Linked DNA regions of Ovis aries. The protein of the gene in region 1 binds, or shares a complex with, the protein of each later gene. Links are inferred from orthologs where the notes say so. Each region holds a gene or a part of one and is shown in the gene's direction. Other genes may lie near its edges.

Region 1 (4,486 bases):
GCACAGACTTCGCTGCCCCTTGGGCAGGTGGGGTCTTCCTGGACTAGGGCGAGAATCCCTGTCCCCTGCACTGGTCGCTGGACTTTCATCCACTGCACCACCAGGGAAGTCCCTAATTCACGCTTTTTAATAGCCGTGTAATATTCCACACTGGAGAGATGCCTTCCCTGCCCCCGGCCAGTCCCCAAGGGATGGGCATCCGGTTACATGCAGGTCTGTTTGTGCTTGTTCCTCATGCTAGAGAGGACTGGCCTATGTGCACAGAGAGATGAGACTGTAGGCTGGATTCCTACAAGTGGGATTGCCGGGTCACCGGGTCATGGAGTACAAAGATTTTACGTTTTAATAAATACTGCCAAATTACTTTCCAAAACTGATGTAGCACTTCACAGTGGCAGGCAGCCTGTGAATGCCTATCTCCCCACATTCCAGCCCATAGCCAACACTGGCTGGTGCCAGTCTGGGGTGCTGGGGACAGTGGAAGGCATAGTCATTACTTTGAATTGCATGATTCTGATTTTCAGTGAGCTTTTTGTTTTTTAAAACTCACATGTGCTTATGTGAGTATTTCCTCCAGCCTCTGCGGAGATTCTCTGAGGACGACCTTTGGGGTGGGGTGTGGAAATGGACTTGTCCCTGGAAGAGAGGGCCCAGGCCTGGGGCTGGGGGCTCTGAGACTGCGCACTTCCCAGCAGGGCCGCAGTCAGTATTCGCTCATCAACCAGGAGGGGCTGAGTCTCAGGCTCAGATGACCCCAAAGCCCGGGGACTTGCCCAAGGTCACGGCACCAAGGGTGCCGCCTGGCTGGGCCGCAGCCAGGCTGCGCCTCCGGCGTGCCTTCGCTCTGCACCAAGATCGCCGGGGAGATGCCTGCGGGCACCTTGAAGAAGGTCGGCGGCTCGCCGCCAACTCAGACTGGGCGGGAGAAGGTTGGGGTGGGGGGGGGGGGGGGGGGGTTGTTGGGCGTCGGGGGATGGCGGTACCTGCCGTTGAAGCCCGGGACGGCTCCCGCCTGGCCCCTCGCCGCGACCACCGCGAGGACTAGCGGGAGGGGCAGAGGCAGGGGCCGGGGCGCCGACCAGGCCGAGCGTTCTCAAGTGCCTGCCGGCTCTCCTGCCTCGGTTTCCCGCTCGGAGGCAGGCGTGGGTGTGGGGGAATCCGGAATGTCCGAGGGCCTGAGGTTCTGGCTTCGGGATCTTGGCGGGCGCGAGGTGGGGTTGGGTAGGCTGCGCGGGGTCCCGGCCAGGGGATAGTCGTGGTGGGCTGCTCGGGGTGGGGTGGGGGGGCTCCGGGGGCAGAGGGTGGCGGACAAAGCGGCGGCACCACCCCGCAGCGCGACCCAATGGAATGAATGGGCTATAAATAGCGGCCAATGGGCGGCCTGCGTTGCGCCCCTTAAGAGCCGCGGGAGCGCGGAGCCGCCGCTGTTCGCCTGCGCCGCGCCCTGAGCTGCAGACTAACCTAGAGCCCCCGCCCCTGCCCGACTGCTCAGTAAGTGAGCCCGGGGGCCCGGGGTGGGGGGCGCGCGGGCACCGAGGCGGGGGTTGTTGTGCACGGAGCTGGGGGCTGGGGCCAGGGTGTCGCGCGCTCCGGACCTCCCGGGGTCCGCCGCCTGGAGTGGGCGCGCCAGTTGGGCCGGGGGTCCTGGGCGCTGTGGTAGCCCCCTGCGTGTAAGCGCCGACCCCTCTGACCTTGACCGAGACCGGGCTGACCGGAGCCCGGGGCCCTGGGTGGTTAGCAGGTCACCAGGAGGCCCAGAGCCTCGGGACCCGCTGACTCCCGCGTCTCCCCGCAGCCCGCCGCCGCCATGCCCTTCTCCAATAGCCACAACACGCTGAAGCTGCGCTTCCCGGCCGAAGACGAGTTCCCCGACCTCAGCGGCCACAACAACCACATGGCCAAGGTGCTGACCCCCGAACTGTACGCCGAGCTGCGCGCTAAGAGCACCCCGAGCGGCTTCACGGTGGACGACGTCATCCAAACCGGCGTGGACAACCCAGGTACGCGCGCCTCAGTCCCGAGGTCAGGACAGGAGCCCGAGGCTGGGCCCCAGCGCCCCCGCTCCCTGGCTCCCCCCGGGCCAAGGTCCGGGCGCCCTCTTTGCGCGCATATCTGAAGGGTCCTCGGTGGCTTGCTCGGGCCTGGCAGTGACGTCACTGTCCCCATTCCACGCTCCCCCCAGGCCACCCCTATATCATGACCGTGGGCTGTGTGGCCGGCGACGAGGAATCGTACGACGTGTTCAAGGAGCTGTTTGACCCCATCATTGAGGACCGGCACGGAGGCTATAAGCCCACCGACGAGCACAAGACCGACCTCAACCCCGACAACCTGCAGGTGCGGGGTGGCCCGGGGCGAGGGGCCGGCTGGGTGGGGAGGGGTTGCCCAGCGCTCAGCCCTGCACGGCCCCCAGGGCGGCGACGACCTGGATCCCAACTACGTGCTGAGCTCGCGGGTGCGCACGGGCCGCAGCATCCGCGGCTTCTGCCTCCCCCCGCACTGCAGCCGCGGGGAGCGCCGCGCCATCGAGAAGCTCGCCGTCGAAGGTAAGGGTACGGCCCGCTGAGCGGCGCTCTTCGGCCCCGGGCCCTGCCGGCCTGTTTACCAGTCACCCGAGCCGCCGCGCTCTTATCTGTCCGTCGTCTCGGGTTTCCCAGAGGGACCGACGCCCAGCCCCGCGCCCACAGAGCCCTGGGGCCGGACGATGGTCGGCTTGGGCCGTGTCGCTCCGGAGCGGCCCGCCGCTCGGACCGGGAGGACTGACTGGGCTCCAGCCAGGCCAAGCGGGCATCCTGGGGGTGCGGGGTGGGGCAGGAGTCCACCCGTCCTCCTGAGCGCGCTCCTCCGCAGCCCTGTCGAGCCTGGACGGTGACCTGGCGGGGAGGTACTATGCGCTCAAAAGCATGACGGAGGCGGAGCAGCAGCAGCTTATCGACGACCACTTCCTTTTCGATAAGCCCGTGTCGCCCCTGCTGCTGGCCTCGGGCATGGCCCGCGACTGGCCCGACGCCCGCGGCATCTGGTGCGTATCCCCCGGCCTCCGCCCGCGCCGTACCTGAGGGAGGAGGGCGGCGCCGCGCTCCTCAGGTGGGTTTGGTGCCGGCCTCCTCGCAGGAGACCTTGACCGCGCAGGTGCGGAGCGCCCCGGGCGGGTGGGGCCGTCTTGCCGGCGTTCCTCCTCCCTCCCCCCGCCTCCGGGAGCCGCGGCTCCTTGTTTGCGCTCTCCTTTCCCACCCGCCGCCCGCGGGGAGTCGGTCAGGTGCGGGGTGACGCAGACGCTTCCTCGAGTGGGGGTGGGGAGCCGGGCTCGCAGGCACCGGGCGTCTGCGCCGAGATAAAGCGACTCCCCGTGGGCGGGGCGGGCTGCCTCTGCCCCTCACCCCCTAGGTGGGGACCACAGGGTGCCTGACCGGCTAGCTGGAAGCAGCTCAGGGCTTCGCGTGCCCTCTCTGAAGTGCCCTGTGTGCGCCCAGGGTGTTGATGGGGCTAGAGTCCTGATAGCAGCCCCGGGGCCCTAGGGACAGCTGGAGTGAGCACCTCAGCTACTTGGGAAGTGCCCCGGCTCGGGGGCCTCGCGAGGTTTTGTTCCTGGATGTGTCCTCGTCCGGGGAGGAGACTTGACTGTGCCCCTCCCCCAGGCATAACGATAACAAGACCTTCCTGGTGTGGATCAACGAAGAGGACCATCTGCGGGTCATCTCCATGCAGAAGGGTGGCAACATGAAGGAGGTGTTCACGCGCTTCTGCAACGGCCTCACCCAGGTCAGGGCCAGGCCCCAGGGTTCAGGCAGAGATGGAGGTGACCCATCAACCCCCCGGGGAGCCCAGGTCTTTGTTGCCTCAGGTCCTGTTCCAGCTGGTCCCCTGGGCGGGTGGCTCAGCCAGGCCTACCCTCTCACACGTCCATTTCCAGATTGAAACGCTCTTCAAGTCTAAGAACTACGAGTTCATGTGGAACCCGCACCTGGGCTACATCCTCACCTGCCCGTCCAACCTGGGCACGGGGCTGCGGGCCGGGGTGCACATCAAGCTGCCCCACCTGGGCAAGCACGAGAAGTTCTCTGAGGTGCTCAAGCGGCTGCGGCTTCAGAAGCGAGGCACAGGTGAGTAGGGGGTGCCAGGCGGCAGCACGCTCCCCTGGGGCTGCCCCCGACGCAGCCCCGCTGAACTGGCTGTCTCTCCAGGCGGTGTGGACACGGCCGCCGTGGGTGGGGTCTTTGACGTCTCCAATGCGGACCGCCTGGGCTTCTCGGAGGTGGAGCTGGTGCAGATGGTGGTGGACGGCGTGAAGCTGCTCATCGAGATGGAGCAGCGGCTGGAGCAGGGCCAGGCCATCGATGACCTCATGCCGGCCCAGAAGTGAGGCCCTGGCCACATCTGCCGCCTCCACCAGCTCCTCCGCTGCTTCCTAACTTATTGCCCAGGCCGTGCCCACCACGTGCCCCGGAGGCTCGCTGTGTGGTGGCTGAGCCCTTAACCTTGCTGT
Region 2 (3,802 bases), on another chromosome or scaffold:
AATCATTCTGCTGTCCTCTCTCAGATTTCAGTCCTGGGTTTGAAATGAAGATAGTGGTACCATTCAGAGAATCAGGTCTGGCAGAAAAGGAGCTCTTTTCAGGAGAGTTTGGTTGACAAAGGCTAAATTTATGTCATGAGCTGGGTCTCTGGGTGATTATGTCTTAGCAGGGAATTAGGAACATGTACTGGAGCTGGGGATTTAGATTTGAAAGCAATATGTAATATATAGAGGGTATTGAGAGACAAGAAAAGGATTTGGGGGCAAATCCTTGAGGAAATGCCTGCATTAGGAGATGTAACGAGGAGAAGAACAGAGTTAGTGAAAGAGACAGAAAAAAAGGCAGTCAGAGACTGGAGATAATTTCAGGTAGAAGTCTGTGTTAGAAGCCAGGGCACAAGTTCCATGAGGTCAGGATGAATATGTTGCAGATTCAGAGATGGAAGGAGGTGGGGAACAGAGCAAGGCATACTGGATTCTGAAAGTCACTGGTGGTCTTTAAAAGCGGTATCAGCAGGATTCTGTTGGTAGAAAATGAGAGAAGGTATAAAAGTAGAGATAATGAGGATAGACTATTTTTGGAAAAAAAGGGGGGCCAGTGAAGGGATGAAGAGCCTTGAATGGGTGCTTCTCAGAGGGTCAGGACTGAGGGCTGGGAGGACTTTGAAAGCAAAAAGAAAGTGTACCTGAAGAGGAGCGAGCAGGGGAACGCATGAGATGAGAAGGTAGATGAAGGAAAGTCCTGGGGGTGGTGGGAGGACCGGGTGAGGTCATGGGCTATTGGACTGAGCTCATCAGTTTCTCCCACAGAGAAAGGAGCAATGGGAGAAAAGAAGACTGGAGAAATATAAAGAGATGTTAGGGGTGGAGAGGAGGGTAATGTAGAAAGCTCTCACATCAAATGGCTTTGACCTCCTTGGTAAAGTAGGGAGGAAGTGATGTGTTTGGATGAATGTGAGTGAGATGGAGGTTTGTGATCTTCCTTTCTGCTGAGTGTAGAGAAGGAAGTGATAACTGTGGATAGGATAAATGATAAAGCCTAACCTTCTTGTGGTTGGTTGGTTGTCTGAGTAGGCATATGATTTGGAGCTGAGACAGAAAGTTGCCAGGTACTAAGCACTATGTCACCCATGGGTGCCCTGGTATTGCACAGCCCCATGGAATCATCAGAACTTCTGACTCTACGCTGAGATTAGGGGACAGACAATTGATGACAGAAGAATTAAAGGTCAGCTATTCGATCCGTTTTTTTCTGAGAACCCACTGCAGACTGGACCCTCTCTGAAGTAATGGGTTAAACATTACCTTAAATGGTATATGATTCAGACTTGACAATATTTCAGACAAACTGCCTCAGTTCATTTCAAGTCAAAATTGCATATCTGTGATGAACTGTAAATACAGTCCTCAGTTGGCACAGGGAAGCTTAATTTAAAGGAACTTCTTTGTAATGTGAATATGTAATGAGTGGTGAACATTTTTGGAATGTAAATAATTTCTTTTTTGCTTTTTCATTTACCTGGATTTATGTATAAGCACCTAAATGATTTTGAAATGGCAGTAGTGGCTATAGGAGTATATTTGTGATAGAGGAATTCTGAATAAAGAATTCCTTTAAAGAATAGTCTTCTATCATCTCATGATCTGTAGCACAGAGAAAAATGCAGTTAACATTTTGCTGTGAATTTCTGGTGTATTCTACCAGTGTGTGGGGAAGAGGCTGGATAAACAGAGAACGCTGAGAGTGGGAAAAGAATGGATTTGAGAACAGATCTTTGAGAGGAATGCCTTGAATAAAATAATGACAGTAATGAAACAGAAGATGCTACACTGTGAAGTCCATGGGAAGTGCTTGTGAAGGGAATAAATGCTACAATTCAAATTTTTCTCGAGTCAAGGGGTTAGGGAGCATTTGTTTAATACAGATGGGATTTGAGGTTGTGAAGGAAGGGAAGATACAGCCCTATCCCTCCCTGCAAACAGCAGAGCTAGTATGGCAAAGTGCTGAAATGGATTTTCAAGTTTCTTGTTTACAAGCAGATTATTTTGAGTCTTTCAGAACCCCTTCCTAGACCCACCTTAAAAAAATATCTCTGGATCTGAGATCCTGTGAACTCAAGTGTGTGTCCAGAATGATGGGATATATCAAAATGCATGACTTGCCTGTCAGAGGGTAACAGCCCAAAGGACAGCATGACTGGGGGGCTGAAAAAAAGGCCCACAAAAGTAGAAGAATGTGTGTTAGGGATGATGGTGAGTGAGATAATCTAATAGAATGATTTTAGGCAAATTTATTCCAGAAAAATTTATTTATTCTGGGCTTCCCTAGTGGCTCAGATGGTAAAGAATCTGCCTGTAATGCAGGGGACCTGGCTTCGATCCCTGGGTTGGGAAGATTCCCTTGGAGAAGAGCATGGAAATTGACTCCAGTATTCTTGCCCAGAGAATCCCTTGGACAGAGGAGCCTGTTGGATTACAGTCCATAGGGTCACACAGAGTCAGACTTGACTGCAACGACTTAGCCTGCATGCATTCTGGGAAGAAAAGGTATAATATTGAGTTGACCAAAAAGTTCGTTTGGGTTTTTCTGTGACATCTTACAGAAAAACCCAAATGAACTTTTTGACTAACCCAGTATTACCAAGATGTTGATTAAACTATCCATGCTCTTAATTGACATATGCTAAGGAAAAGAACTTTGATTGTACCTGGTTTCTTCCTGTTAGGAATAGATTATATATTCTAAGATCAGGGAGTCTGTGGAGCCTCTCCTTGAGTTCTTTTGATGTTCTGCTTGGATTAGGTTCAGGATCCATCTCTTAGAGAGCACACTTTCCAAGAGGTTGAAGAACCCCACGACCTTTCAGACACTTTCTTGCTTCTTTAGCGCTAGACTACTGGAGTGAGAGTGTAAATTGTCCCTTTGCCTCTCTGTCCATGGAGGTTCACCTAATGCTTTGGACTGTCTTGGTCATGTTTTGCTGTGTAACAAAGTACCCTCTACGTTAGTGGCTTCATGTACAGACATGTATTCACAGTGTCTGTGGGGCAGGGATTTAGACACAATTTACCTGGGTCAGGGACTCTTATGAATCTGCAGTCAGAAGAATATATATTGGCTTCCCTGATGGCTCAGCATAAAGAACTCTCCTGTCAGTGCAGGAGATGCAGGTTCGATCCCTGGGTCAGGAAGATCCTCTGGAGAAGGAAATGGCAACCCACTCCAGTATTCTTGCCTGGAGAATTCCGTGGACAGAGAAGCCTGTTGGGCCACAGTCCATAGGCTCACGAAGAGTCAGACACCACTGAGTGACTGAGCACATAGGTGAGCCAGGTGAACTTTTGAAAGAATGTGGATTCATGGCTGAGCCCTACAGAACTGTTCCAGTGCACTCCTCACTCTGCCCATTTCCCTCCTCCAGGGGTGGCCGGTGAACCTCATCACGGCAGATCGTGTGTCTCCATTGCATGAAGCCTGCCTTGGAGGTCATCCCTCCTGTGCAAGCATATTATTGAGGCATGGAGCTCAGGTAAGTACAACTCAAACCCCATCTTCGACGCCACTACTGAAAAATGACTATTTCTATCCCTTCTAAATACTTTCGAGCATTTTTTATTAGCCTGATTTGAAATATGAAGAGGGTTTTTCCCCCCCAAAGTATTATGTCCATCAAGCTTATTTACTTTAGCAGTAGATGAAATACTGCATTTGTAGCTAGAAAGTCATGGTCTGAGCCTATATAATTTTCTTTAGCTGTCACTACTAATAAATAGCTGTTACACTTCTGCCTTCACTCCTATG

Evidence for each region.
Region 2: the proteins of CKB (region 1) and ASB9 are in contact, whole or in part, in a cryo-EM structure (PDB 6V9H), measured with the Homo sapiens proteins. The link is inferred for Ovis aries from reciprocal best matches to the Homo sapiens genes CKB and ASB9. Residues at the interface, in NP_001814.2 of Homo sapiens: Asn63, Pro64, Gly65, His66, Pro67, Tyr68, Ile69, Thr71, Arg130, Arg132, His191, Val198, Ser199, Pro200, Leu201, Leu202, Leu226, Trp228, Glu232, Ile238, Met240, Asn286, Arg292, Gly303, Lys304, His305, Glu306, Lys319, Arg320, Gly321; in NP_001026909.1 of Homo sapiens: Leu25, Asn27, Pro28, Leu29, Met30, Gly31, Asp32, Ala33, Val34, Ser35, Asp36, Trp37, Pro39, Glu42, Ile45, His46, Trp60, Ala67, Asp68, His69, Glu75, Ala100, Asp101, Trp102, Val111, Asp133, Leu134, Ser165, His166.

What each region holds. Positions count from the first base shown.
Region 1 is NC_056071.1:65,892,951-65,897,436, reverse strand, and holds the start of CKB (creatine kinase B-type), read left to right. Parts: upstream 1-1,423; 5' UTR 1,424-1,491; intron 1,492-1,795; 5' UTR 1,796-1,807; coding exon 1,808-2,000; intron 2,001-2,182; coding exon 2,183-2,337; intron 2,338-2,413; coding exon 2,414-2,546; intron 2,547-2,850; coding exon 2,851-3,022; intron 3,023-3,638; coding exon 3,639-3,762; intron 3,763-3,913; coding exon 3,914-4,103; intron 4,104-4,184; coding exon 4,185-4,363; 3' UTR 4,364-4,486. UniProt on the Homo sapiens protein: Reversibly catalyzes the transfer of phosphate between ATP and various phosphogens (e.g. creatine phosphate).
Region 2 is NC_056080.1:13,444,257-13,448,058, reverse strand, and holds part of ASB9 (ankyrin repeat and SOCS box protein 9), read left to right. Parts: intron 1-3,422; coding exon 3,423-3,530; intron 3,531-3,802. UniProt on the Homo sapiens protein: Substrate-recognition component of a cullin-5-RING E3 ubiquitin-protein ligase complex (ECS complex, also named CRL5 complex), which mediates the ubiquitination and subsequent proteasomal degradation of target proteins.